Danio rerio: one gene and its partners. The protein of the gene in region 1 purifies or fractionates together with the protein of each later gene. This does not show direct contact. Links are inferred from orthologs where the notes say so. Each region holds a gene or a part of one and is shown in the gene's direction. Other genes may lie near its edges.

Region 1 (4,409 bases):
CAACCCAACACTGTGAAACATTCATACTCTCTCATTCACATACACTACGGACAATTTATCTTACCTAATTCACCTGTACCACATGTGTTTGAACTGTGGGGGAAACTAGAACATACAAACTCCACTCAAAAACGGCAACTGACCCAGCCGAGGCTCGAACCAGCAACCTTCTTGCTGTGAGGCGACAGCACTACCTACTGCGCCACTGTGTCGCCTAAATAAAATAGTAATAAAATAAAAATAATAAAATATAAAATAAACTTATGATAATAAAAAATAAAATACATTAATAATAACAAAATAAAATAATTAAAAATAAAATATTAAAATAAAATAAAAATAAAGTAATATAAAAATATGTTTTCAGTTATATAATATATTAATATAATATAAAATAATAGCGTTTTCAGTTCAAAATATAAACAAAATTATGTTTTACTGAAACTAAAGAGTTTCAGGAACAAGAATATAATGCTAAAAATAAAATAATAATAATAATAAAATAAAAATTATAAAATAAAATAAAAATCAAATACAAAATAATAAAATATAAAATAAATTATTTTAATTTACATTATGTATGTCGCCTAGTATACATAGTATTATGTAATTTGTTTATATTGCTAGTTGCTGTATTAGAAGACGTACACAGCAGATTAATTAAAGTACCCTACTATAGTTCAAAAACACTACTATACATAATTATAGATTTTTAAAGGATAAAGATTTCAATAAACATTTATTTTTATGTGTGCTGAGATGTGTTATTCGTTCAGATTTGCCTGATTTTAGTTTGATTTTTCATGCGTTGAATTGACTAAGTGTCAATGTGTTTCTGAAGTTCATAGCTAGCTGAGAAAGCAGCAATATCATCAATCAGTCCTTTAAAATCAATGGTTTAATACACATGCCTGTTATTATTCAAAAGCTGCATCAAGCATTGTATGATTTTCAGTCAAATGATATGCAAATCAATGAGATAGACGCACAGATAGAGATTGATATTATCTGTGACGGGACAATATTGAAATATCGTGTAATAATAGTAGGCTAAAATAAACTATCCGTACATAAATATTGAAATGATCCAATAAACTCTGTAAATTGTGAAATGCCTGTCAACACTGACACCCATTATGTATTTATTTATTTAAAAGAAGGAGAGAAAGTTCCTGATTCCAGACATTCCTCCATTCCTGCGCGTGTGTGTGTGCGTGTAAACACGGTCCGGCGACTTATATGGTCACAAAAGCCCAAAGTCGCGCACATACCTCAGACATTAAGCACACATACGGGGCCCTGCGGCCCAACTATTTCAAGTTCACCCTGTGACGCGGACTTTTACCCGCTCTGGCACGCCCACACGCCGCCTGTCATTGGCCGAAGCCTTCGGGAATGCAGAGCGAGCGGACTGTGATTGGCGGAGATTCAGGAAAGGGGCGGTTACGTGCCGCAGACTCCGCCCCACCGGGACCGCACCCCGAACCATTACAGCAGGACGGAGTTCAACTACGAGTGGAAGAGGGAGGGAAGAGAAAGAAAGGAAGAAAAAAAGAGAGCCGAGTGAAGAGAGCCAACTTGTGCGCAGCTTCAGTGGATTGAAAAGGGAAGTCTGGAGCACGCGACACGGATCCACACTGAGCCTCTGGAGTTTCTGACAACCATCCCCCGAACTCCGAGCGTCTGCATCTGATTAGCAGGTAAAGCACCGGGTGGACGGTTCCGTTTCCTCCGCAGATCCATTCAGTCGCCGCGCGGAGAAACAGGAAGCGCAGCTAGTGTGAGCAGCGACCTGGAGTGACGCGGCCTGGTTTTGCTGCACTTGCAAACTTGTTGTGGTGAAATCGTTACGGTTGATCGATATTTCTTGCGAAGATAACCTGTGACGCGTCCGATCGGCACGGACAGCCGCGCGGTGAGTTTCAGGAAGTGCTCGAGCGCAGAAACACCGGCTCGCGCGGGCCTCAACGGGCACGCGGAAACCCGTTAATTTTCACAGAAAATGCTGTTTGCGCGAAAGTAGGGTGCAGTGCGACTGCAAACGGAGCATGATGTCATTGAGCGCTAGCGAGTGACGTTTCACGGGCGCTCATTACGTCATCGCTCGCGTTAAAACTGGGCCAAGCGGCGCGTTTTCAGTTATCCGCCCGATTTTAAGGACGAATCTGTATTAGCGGTTTGTTAACACAGCAGGAAAGTAAACTTGGACGCAAATAAACGTAGTTTCTGACTCTTCTAGAGAGTTCTAGTTAGTTACAGACAGATGGAAATAGGTTACGCGCGCTCCCAAAGTTCGATGAGGGTGTGATCGCGCTGCGTGCTCCCGCAGACATTGGTGCGCGCTTTCTTCAACCGGACAAATTTCATTTGTGTGCAAGAAACTTGGTTAATATTTGAAAGGAAGAGTGCACACGGTCATTCGCGGGGGCGCGCTGCGCGAGCTCGTCCTTCTGGTGTGTGGCCTTGTTGCATTTCTGTGTATTTTGATATACGTGTTGTTGGCTGCTTTCTGAATATGTGTCCAGCAATTAGCATATTTCATTTCAGAAACCCTCTAATGCTTTATTGGTTCTTGATTGTTATGAACAGGATGTTGATGAATCTCTGAAGTGAGTGATTGGCAGCTACTTTAGCTTTATGCTCAGATTTAGTTGTGATTTTGTCGGGTGTGTCTTATAACCACACAAATCTGTGTGTAATCCATGTGAGCTCTCAGATTCATGCTGATGTGAGTGTGTACTGCATTTATCTTTGTCATCATTCTGTTTGCTGCTAGTAATAGTGTTATAAGTGTGTGTGTGTGTGTGTGTGTGTGTGTGTGTGTGTTATTCAGTGCCATAGAGCAAATAATATTATTGAAATGAACACCAGTTTCACTTTCTTAGAAGACGTCTGCAGTACACACCTGACCTGTGTGTGTGTGTGTGTGTGTGTGTGTGTGTGTGTGTGTGTGACCTGGTTTTCTTTGAGCGAGTATGTCTAGGACGTTGTGACCCAGTAAAAGCACATGCTGGTCTCATTCTGGATTTTGTTGTAGCTTCTCTTCATTGGTTAAGGAAACGCATAAGACTCCCTCAATCCCTGCGGCATTTATACTGCGCACAGAGCTGCTGCGTCCAAGTCCTGTCCAAAAAATCATATTTACGAGTCGAACTCAACCACAACATCGTAATTGTGGGGAACAGTTTTTCGAGGCCTAAAGCTTCTGAGTTCAATACAGACTCAGTGGATATATTTATTTGGTCAACAGTTGACTGTAATTTAGTTGCAGCTTTTAAAATTGCTTTTTAGTGCACAATAAAAGTTGCATATGATGTAGTGGAAGATGTAGTAATTCAATGTATACATGCAGAGATTAAATAAATGCTTAAAAGAGCAAATGCACTATGCTATATCCATCATTATATAGAGATTGCTTAAATAAGTGTAAAATGGTACTTTGCCAGCTTGCTCTTGGTTTGAGTGATTTGAACAAATCTGACAGGGTAATTATGCCTTGTCAACTCCTAATGATGAACAAGAGGACTTTAGCTAATGTGTTTGTGTGCGTGGAATTTGTACAGCTATTGTTTTCCAAGTCGTGCATTAAAAGGTGTGAGCATGACCACTCTTTTATAACTTAGTATGGTCCATTATTTGTCTGATATCAAATTAAACATGAACATGAAGTCAGCACCTATAGCCTAGTGCACTGATCATCAACTCTCAGTAATGATTAAGGGTGCTTTCACACCTACACTTTTGTTTCGGAACGTATCTCGTTTGCCCAGTTAGCGCGGTTCGATTGGCATATGTGAACAGGGCAATCGCGCTCTGTCCCGCGCCAAAGTAATCGCTCCGAGATCGCTTGAATGAGGTGGTCTCGGCTCGATTGAAACGAACCCTGGAGCGGTTCGATTGCAGTGAGAAAGCGATCTGATCCGAGCGCGGTTATATCACAGTGTTTTATGGATATGTAATAGGCTTACGGCTATATGAAGAGAGAATTATGAGTAAGGCGGGAAGTTTCGTGAGTCTCCGGATGCCCGCAAACGAGTGATGATCTCCCGGTAATCTCGTGTCTCTCTCCCAGTCCTCAAATAGGCATCATCGCGCACCCTTCTCACCCCTCCCCACCGCGTCTATCCTCAGACACGTCACGCGCGCGCACCCTGTCAATCACCACCAAACCACCACCTCTCCTGACAGCTGAGCGGGACGCTGCAAAATAAACCCTGACACTCTGACCAATGTAAGGAGAGTTTACTCGCACGTGACTTGTTTTAGCTCTTTTGGTCCGATTAGAAACTTTGCAGTGTGAAAGCGAACCGCACCAAGAGCAAAGAGCAACAATGTAACAATTCTAATCTCTGTTTCGGAACAACTGAATCGATTCACAGGTGTGAAAGCACCCTAAATCACACTGAACT
Region 2 (4,436 bases), on another chromosome or scaffold:
ATGGATTCATTGATTGCAATAAGAACAAATAAATACTATAATGATTGACTGGTGGTGGTGTGGGTATATATATATATATATATATTTTTTTTTTTTTTTAAATTTATTTATTTATTTATTTATATATTTTCTTATTGCGATCAACGAATGATCTGATGATCCCTGATGATTGTAACACGCTTTAGGTGTATGGCCATACACAATATATGCACTATATAAATGCACTTTACTTACTAATTGATTAATAATTTGTCACACAATATGTAGGTTTAAGTATTAAAAAATCTATCTCTCTATCTATCTATCTATCTATCTATCTATCTATCTATCTATCTATCTATCTATCTATCTATCTATCTATCTATCTATCTATCTCTGTATAAATGACAGAGTACTAATATATATATATATAATATATCTAATATATATATATACAATTCAAAGAAAAAGAAAAAACGGATCAGTGGTACAAAGAAAACAAAATATAAATGAGACAAATACGTTGAAGGTTATTTCTTATATATAATGTCAATGTCTATATATATGTATGTATATATATATATATATATATATATATATATATATATATATATATATATATATATATATATATATATATATATATATATACATTAAAGCAAATATGCTGGTGAGAAAGTTTTACTTGTGTTCAGAGCAGGTTAAGGTAAACCTCTTTAGAAATGATTGCAGTTCTTTATACACAGATCCTAAATGGTATTAATTAAAAAAATGATCTTTCATAACCTGCAGATTGCATACAATGATTGTATGAGGATTTTTCTTAAAAACATAGATGTGTAGTCAGGTGAATTATTTTGTAAGGTCATTGTTTGCTTTGGTGAGAAATTTCATCTGTCAGAATTCTCAGAATAGCATTTTACTGTTGTTGATCAACCCTATGCTTGCTGAGGTGCATACTGTGTGGTTTGTAGCCTATTGTTTGGTCTGTCTTTTGTACAATTGGACCTAGTGTCTTGAGAGTATTAAACATACAATATGTATAAGCATGCGTACTAAAAAAGGGTAAGGGGCTTGTGGAATTACAGAATCTTGGAGATTTCAAGTAAAAGAACAGTTAGATGGCTCTTTTATAAGTACTTTGCTTAATGTTGTTCGTAAGAATAGCTGGATAAAAGGGTTCTTGGTTAGTAAATGTGCATTATGGATCTTTGTAAATATTCTCAAAATTCACATTACATAGATTTACACTATTAACTGCCGAAACTATTACGTTTAAAACTAGCAAAGTAAGCAAGGTTTACCTAAAACGGCGTCTATCTGTCTAGTACAGGATTTCACGTGCGCTCACAGTGGCTGCTTTGTAAACAAACCCTGGCAATACGGCAACTGCAAAGGGACATTTCTCGTTTACTGGTTTAATAAACGGCTTGTTCCTTCAGCTTTAAATCATAATAACGAAATAAATCTTTAGCTTAGCATGTCGTTTGTTGTAGTTATATGTTTAAAGAACATAAGCTAAAATAACGAAATTAATATGCGGGAAATAATAAAACACGAGAGAAGCTGTTTGTTTAACATTGCTTGGCAGCAGTTGTCATAGGGACAGCTGTAAAACAACGCCGAAGAAACACGTCTTCATTCATATCGCAGTTCTATTTCTCTCTTTCTTGTCATTTCTCGTCTCTGTCATCGGGCATCATGAGCGACACCATTTATCCTGCAGAGAGCATCTATAATCTGATCCCCAGAGAGGAAGAGAAAACCATGAAAGCCCCCAGGTAACGTTTGAGTTCCAGACTTATCAATAATAAAAGGCCTCAAATAATAAATTGAGGTAAAATTGGTTTTATTGTCGCACATTGGTTCATTTATGAATAGTGATAACTTGAAGGTGTGAAATCACTTGTTTGACTTCAAAACAAAACTAACGTTAGCCATATTTAAATGGCTGTGATCAATATGCTTACTTTAATAGTTGTTTGTTGCTATTTTTACTTTGATTTCCCCTACTACGAAGAATACTTTAATGAAATTATATTAGCGAGAAAGTTCAAATGTGCGAATATTTGCCCCAGTAAATAATAATTTGTCATGGTTTTATATTTTACAACGTAGTTGTTTGTTTCATTATAACACTGTCTACTCATTTCGTTACTATAGCAAATGTGAATATGATGATATATCAAAAATCTATTTTAAAAAAGGTATATTATATTAAAAATATAATATATAAGATATATTTAAAAAAATTTCAAGTAAATTTGAACTTCAATATGTTCTGTTTTAGGAGAACGTATGTGAATCATCACCTATATCCCACAAACAAAGCAAAAACTGAGGTAAAGTTGGTTTTATATTTGCACATTCATGCAGATATATTGTTTACCATGGAGCTTTGAATATTCGGCCTCAAATCCCATGTAATTTATGACTTCAAAACAACATTATCTATATGACTGTGAACATTTTTGTACTTTGATAGCCATTGACTGCTAATATGATTTCTCTATTTGGAATTTGCAAATACTACCTTTATGAAATCATATTATTAACAAGAAAGTCTGAACTTGCGAATATAAAACCAACTTTACCGAAATTAAGCAAAAAGCTGTCGGCAGTACAGAGAAAGAATTGGTAAATGTGCTTTCTGTTCAGAAACTGATGCAAAATGTACTGTCAGAATGTGTTTTAAATGGGATTTCCCTCATCCCCCCATTTTATCTACAATCACCTGCCACTTTGGGTTGGACACCCTTTTGCTTTCAGAATGGCCTGGAAATATTCCTCAGAGATTTTGGTCCATGCTACATGATAGCATCACGCAGTTGCTGCAGATTTGTCGGCTGCACATCCATGACGTGAATCTCCCATTCCTCCCAGGTGCTCTATTGGATTGAGATCTGGTGACTGTGGAGGCCGTTTGAGTACAGTGAACTCATTGTCATGTTCAAGAAACCAGTCTGAGATGATTCAAGCTTTATGACATGGCACATTATGTAGCCATCAGAAGATGGGTACAATGTGGTCATAAAGGGATGGACATGGTCAGTAACATACTCAGATAAGCTGTGGCGTTAACATGACGATCAACTGGTAATAATGGGCCCAAAATGTGCCAAGAAAATATCCCCCACACCATTACACCACCACCAGCAGCCTGAACCGTTGAATTAAGGCAGGATGGATTTATGCTTTCATCTTGTTGATGCCAAATTCTGACCCTACCATTCGAATGTTGCAGCAGAAATAGAGACTCATCAGACCAGGCAATATTTTTCCAATCTCTTATTGTTCAATTTTGGTGAGCCTGCATGAAGTGTAGCCTCAGATTCCTGTTCTTAGCTGACTGCACCAACAACCACGCCACGTTCAAAGTCACTTAAATCACCTTTCTTCCCCATTCTGATGCTCGGTTTGAACTGCAGCAGATCGTCTTGACCATGTCTACATGCCTAAATGCTTTGAGTTGCTGCCATGTGATTGGCTGATTAAATATTTGCATCAACGAGCAGTTGGACAGGTGTACCTAATAAAGTGGCCGGTGAGTGTATTTGATTTGAATGAAGCACGTGTTTTCTGTGACATTCATTCAGTAGCATCTTCTTTTTTCAGGTACATGTCAAAGTTCAGAGAGCAGGTGAAACTGGAGAAACAGTCAAACAAAGCCCCTAATAAATCTATGGGACCAGCTAAAGTGGACGTCCCATTGCCACAGAAATATCTACTAAAACACTCGAAGGAACCCAAACTCCCTGAAAGTATGTGAAATATCTAATATATATATATTTTTTTTATTTATTTATTAAATTTACTTGGTTCACCCAAAAATAAAAATTTCCTCATCACACTTGAGTGGTTCGAAACTTGTATGAATATCTTTCTTCTGTTGTGTCATTGATATCCATAGCAGGAACAAAATTACTATTGAAGTAAATGACCTTTTTGTTGTTGTTGTTGTTGTAGTCTTTAGTATATCTTCCTTTGTATTTAACAGAAGAAAGAAACTCAAACAGGTTTGGAAGTTAAGGAGGAGTAAATAATGACAACATTTTCATCTTTGGATAAACTACACTTTTATTACATAACATACATATCTTTTCATACAATAATAAATGCCAATGTTTTTGTATAAATCACTAAAGATTTGTCTGATCATTAATTTTTGCTGTTTCAGAGAAACCATTTAAATATGAAGATGATGAGCTGCATTATAAACCACCAGTACCTGCTAGAACTGACAAGCCGCTCATGGGTCTTCATACCAACAAGAACTTCATTAAGACCAATGCCGTTGAGAATATCATGGCAGTCCCGAAGAAACCACAGCCGGCGTACACTGATACAAAAAAGGGAGACAAGCAACCGCTTGAAAACTCTGGTCTCGTTCCTAAATATATAAAGAAGAAGGTGAGGAGAGGGATTTAATCAGTTTCCTGCTTTTGTATTCATGCAGA
Region 3 (3,654 bases), on another chromosome or scaffold:
GGTATACGAGCCTGTAACTCAATGACGGAAAGGACTTCAAATTAGTTGAAGCATTGCAAATGACTAGGCCCACCCGGAATCTATATGACAAACTTGCTTTATTTACCAAATAAAGTGAATCTAATTGGATTTGCATTTTAAACATTAAGTAAAAGTTCAAAAGATATTATTTTTTATTTCATATATTAAGGTATTAGTTATGATACTCCCAAAATAATTCAGCAGAAATCTGCAGACTTTTACCAAAATTCTCTGCAGAAATAGCAAAAAATGTCCACAGATTCAGTCTGGCCCTACAAATGAGACAAAAATTAAAAATATCAGAGAAATTAAAGAAAACATTTAAGCAGAAGTTAAATATAAAAACAATATATCTAAAATGTTCTTGTGTGGATGTCTAAATTTTTATGATACGCAAACTTTTCTTTAAACCAGTATTAAACTAAAATCAAAATCCATTCTTCATTGACTATGTTCTGTCTTGTCTGTCCAAGCTGTGCAAACTGTATCTTTTCTATTGCAAACATGTGTTGTTTCTTTATTTCTGCAGAAATATATAAAGCATCAAAGCATGGATGTACCTCACCAGCAAACAACAGTTCAGCTGCAGGAATGTATAGAGCTCTTTACCACCGTAGAGACACTGGAGGAGGAAAACCCTTGGTAATCACAAATTCCAGACTTTGATCATTTCTAGTGATGTACTAAATCTTCTGCGCATGTAACTTTTCTTTTCTGTGGTATGCAGGTATTGTCCCACATGTAAAAGACATCAGCTCGCCACTAAGAAATTGGATCTCTGGTCTTTGCCGGAGGTTCTTATCATCCATTTAAAGCGATTCTCCTACACCAAATACTCTCGAGAAAAACTGGACACAATTGTGGAGTTCCCATTGCGGTAAGATCAACAGTGATTTATTTTATGATTCATTTTTAAGTTGTGTTCACGCTTGGCAGGTTTGGTGCACCTCAACCAGAGGAATTGAAACTTATTCTAAATAAACTCCAAACTCCAGAACATTGGCATCTAAATGATTGGAAAACTGGCATAAAAGATATCACCATACATGTAATAGAATCCTCATTTTTCCTTGTCAAAGACAAAATGTTGCTTACAACAGTTTAATACAGGTGAAAAATAGGCCATTAAAGGGAAAGTTCAGCCGAAAATAAAATATATTTACCATTTACTCACCTTCAAGTTGTTCTAAACCTTGATAAGTTTCTTCACTCTGTCGAACACAAAAGAAGATATTTTGAAGAATGTTAGTAACCAGTAACTTTCATAGTTGAAGATACTAATACTGTGGAAGTCAATGGTTACAGGTTTCCCACAAAAAATCTAAATAACTTCTTTTGTGTTCAGCAGAAGAAAGAAACTTGAACAGGTTGAAGGGTGAGAAAATGATAACAGAATTTTCAGATTTGGGCGAACTATCCCTTTATATACCTTTTTTTTTCTTAAAGTGCATGTCATGTTTGTTTTTCGAAAAATATTTTATCAGAAAGCCGTGTGTATATAGACTATCCTGACACTAAATGCAACAAATTATACATGACCGTAATAGTTTGATTAAGGTTGATTAAGTTTACACCATACCTGTCAGCATTGGGAAGTGAATATAAGGGATATACCCACCATAATAAAGGATCCTCCCCCCTTTAAAAATCCAAATTTTTAATTACTAAATATGTTCATTTAGAGCTGTTTCATTGTAAATAAACCGTTTAATGGTCAGTAATATGTTTTATTATTATTATTCACAAAAGAAAAAATAAATATGTACATTAGCAGCAAAAACATTAGCTAACAGTTCAGCTTATTAAAATGAATACCTGTTATAATGAAATAGAATCAAGCTATCAAATCTCATTAGCCGTTTCTTCCCTGTATAACTTACATATTCTGATTAAAGAGCAACGAATGAATCTTTTATGCTCGTTTTTTTTTGTTTGATTACATTAAATAACAGGTGTCACTTTAAAAATGCACACATCTAACAATTTAATGAAGGTATTTGACTGCTTTCCTAACTTTTTATGCTCATTTAAGATAAAATTAGTTGGGTTTTTAAAAATAAACTCCAAGATCGACATCTTTAGATATTATTATTATTATTATTAATTATGTGTATATGTCTGTTTAAACACGCACCCAAAATCCAGATTTTCGCTCCACTTCAAATTGCGTGTACAAAATCCTTTTGGGAAACAGCGTCTGTTTATCACTATAGAGCGCGTCAGCTGAAAGTCATGCATCATTATATGAATGTTTTGAGGATTGCATAGGAGGGGTGACGGCACCTGTAATGAAAAGGAAGGGCAATCGCGCCATTTTTATGTTTATTTCAAAGTTTTTTAGTGCCTAAACAAAGTGAAAGCACGGAACAGAATCATATTTAAGAGCAAGGGGCGGCCCCTTGTGGTCCGGCGGTATGGGTTACATATAGGGATGCTCGGCTCTTTAATGTTTCTTGCCACCCTTCAGAGAAACACTGAAAATATGTGAAAAAATACGGGATGCTAGCGGGATAGAACTGTAAAATACGGGAGATTCCTGGGAAAAACGGGAGGGTTGATGGGTATGGTTTACACTCGGAGAGCAGCATTTGCACTGGATCTTTAAGTCCATAACATTGTAGTGATATTAACATACTGTAAACTTAGTAAATAAATCATTTTGACTAAGGTCTGTCTTTAAAAACTAAAAGGGTACTGCTGACGATACGAACTAACTTTACCTTTGAATAAACATAAACAAAGAACACTGATCGCTAACTTACCAAATCTGTAGAGACATTTCAATCAACACAAACTGGAAACAAGTCTTTTTTTTTTAAAGGAGTCGAGCGGCAAATCCGGATTTCACCATTTTCAGATGTGAAAAGCTCTCTGGTAAAAATGTTCCTTACAAACGCATTTCTGCTGCGTGTCACGTGCACTGTAATCCACACGTGAGTCCAGCTGCACTCTCATAGCGGGAAAATGAAAACAAACCTTCATTGCAGCAAATTATAAAAGCAACACTGATGACCCCTATCTCCAAACAATTCTTGTTTTTCCACTTAATTTGGCCGTCTGAACACTGTAACAAGTAAAAACAGTCTTCGAAGCTATCATGCACATTAATGAAGTTGCACCTCATTCACAATAGAGCGCGCTGATTGGTTTGAACCAAGTCTTTTTCATGAATAAATGCTGAAACCTCAAAGACGTCACGTTGTACTCACCAGTACAGACAGCCATTTTACACGCGGGAATACACGCAAGAATATAATCGCCGTGACGCAGCTTCAAAATATAGTTTTAAACCGAAAGAACGAATTTGCTTGAAATAACGCAAAACTAACCAATTTTCACTGTTTTGTGAAATGTATGTCCTAATAGTGTTTATAGCAGTGTGGGACACACATATGACTGTCAACAACTCAAAAAATGTGTTGGTGTTTCGTGACCCCTCAATAGTAAGTAAGGTTATAATTGGGTTTAGGTCATGGGTAGGATGAGGGATGTAAAATGTGATTTTACTTTATAAGTGCTAATAAACAGTGAATATCTTAATAATAGGCAGGTATTATTATTATATTAATTATATTATTATTATTATTATTATTATATTATTGATTATTATTATAAGCTATATACAGTGCTCAG

The links.
Region 2: the proteins of myh9b (region 1) and enkur purify together in Homo sapiens (affinity purification with western blotting; 4 studies listed by BioGRID, with this or other methods). This does not show direct contact. The link is inferred for Danio rerio from reciprocal best matches to the Homo sapiens genes MYH9 and ENKUR.
Region 3: the proteins of myh9b (region 1) and usp11 purify together in Homo sapiens (affinity purification with mass spectrometry; 3 studies listed by BioGRID, with this or other methods). This does not show direct contact. The link is inferred for Danio rerio from reciprocal best matches to the Homo sapiens genes MYH9 and USP11.

Annotation. Positions count from the first base shown.
Region 1 is NC_133178.1:3,460,223-3,464,631, reverse strand, and holds the start of myh9b (myosin-9), read left to right. Parts: upstream 1-1,513; 5' UTR 1,514-1,915; exon of another isoform or gene 1,916-3,733; intron 3,734-4,403; exon of another isoform or gene 4,404-4,409. UniProt on the Homo sapiens protein: Cellular myosin that appears to play a role in cytokinesis, cell shape, and specialized functions such as secretion and capping. Required for cortical actin clearance prior to oocyte exocytosis. Promotes cell motility in conjunction with S100A4.
Region 2 is NC_133199.1:6,883,133-6,887,568, reverse strand, and holds the start of enkur (enkurin), read left to right. Parts: upstream 1-1,487; 5' UTR 1,488-1,680; coding exon 1,681-1,760; intron 1,761-3,594; coding exon 3,595-3,740; intron 3,741-4,156; coding exon 4,157-4,389; intron 4,390-4,436. UniProt on the Homo sapiens protein: Adapter that functions to localize a calcium-sensitive signal transduction machinery in sperm to a calcium-permeable ion channel.
Region 3 is NC_133183.1:10,230,059-10,233,712, forward strand, and holds part of usp11 (ubiquitin carboxyl-terminal hydrolase 11), read left to right. Parts: intron 1-550; coding exon 551-663; intron 664-748; coding exon 749-898; intron 899-3,654.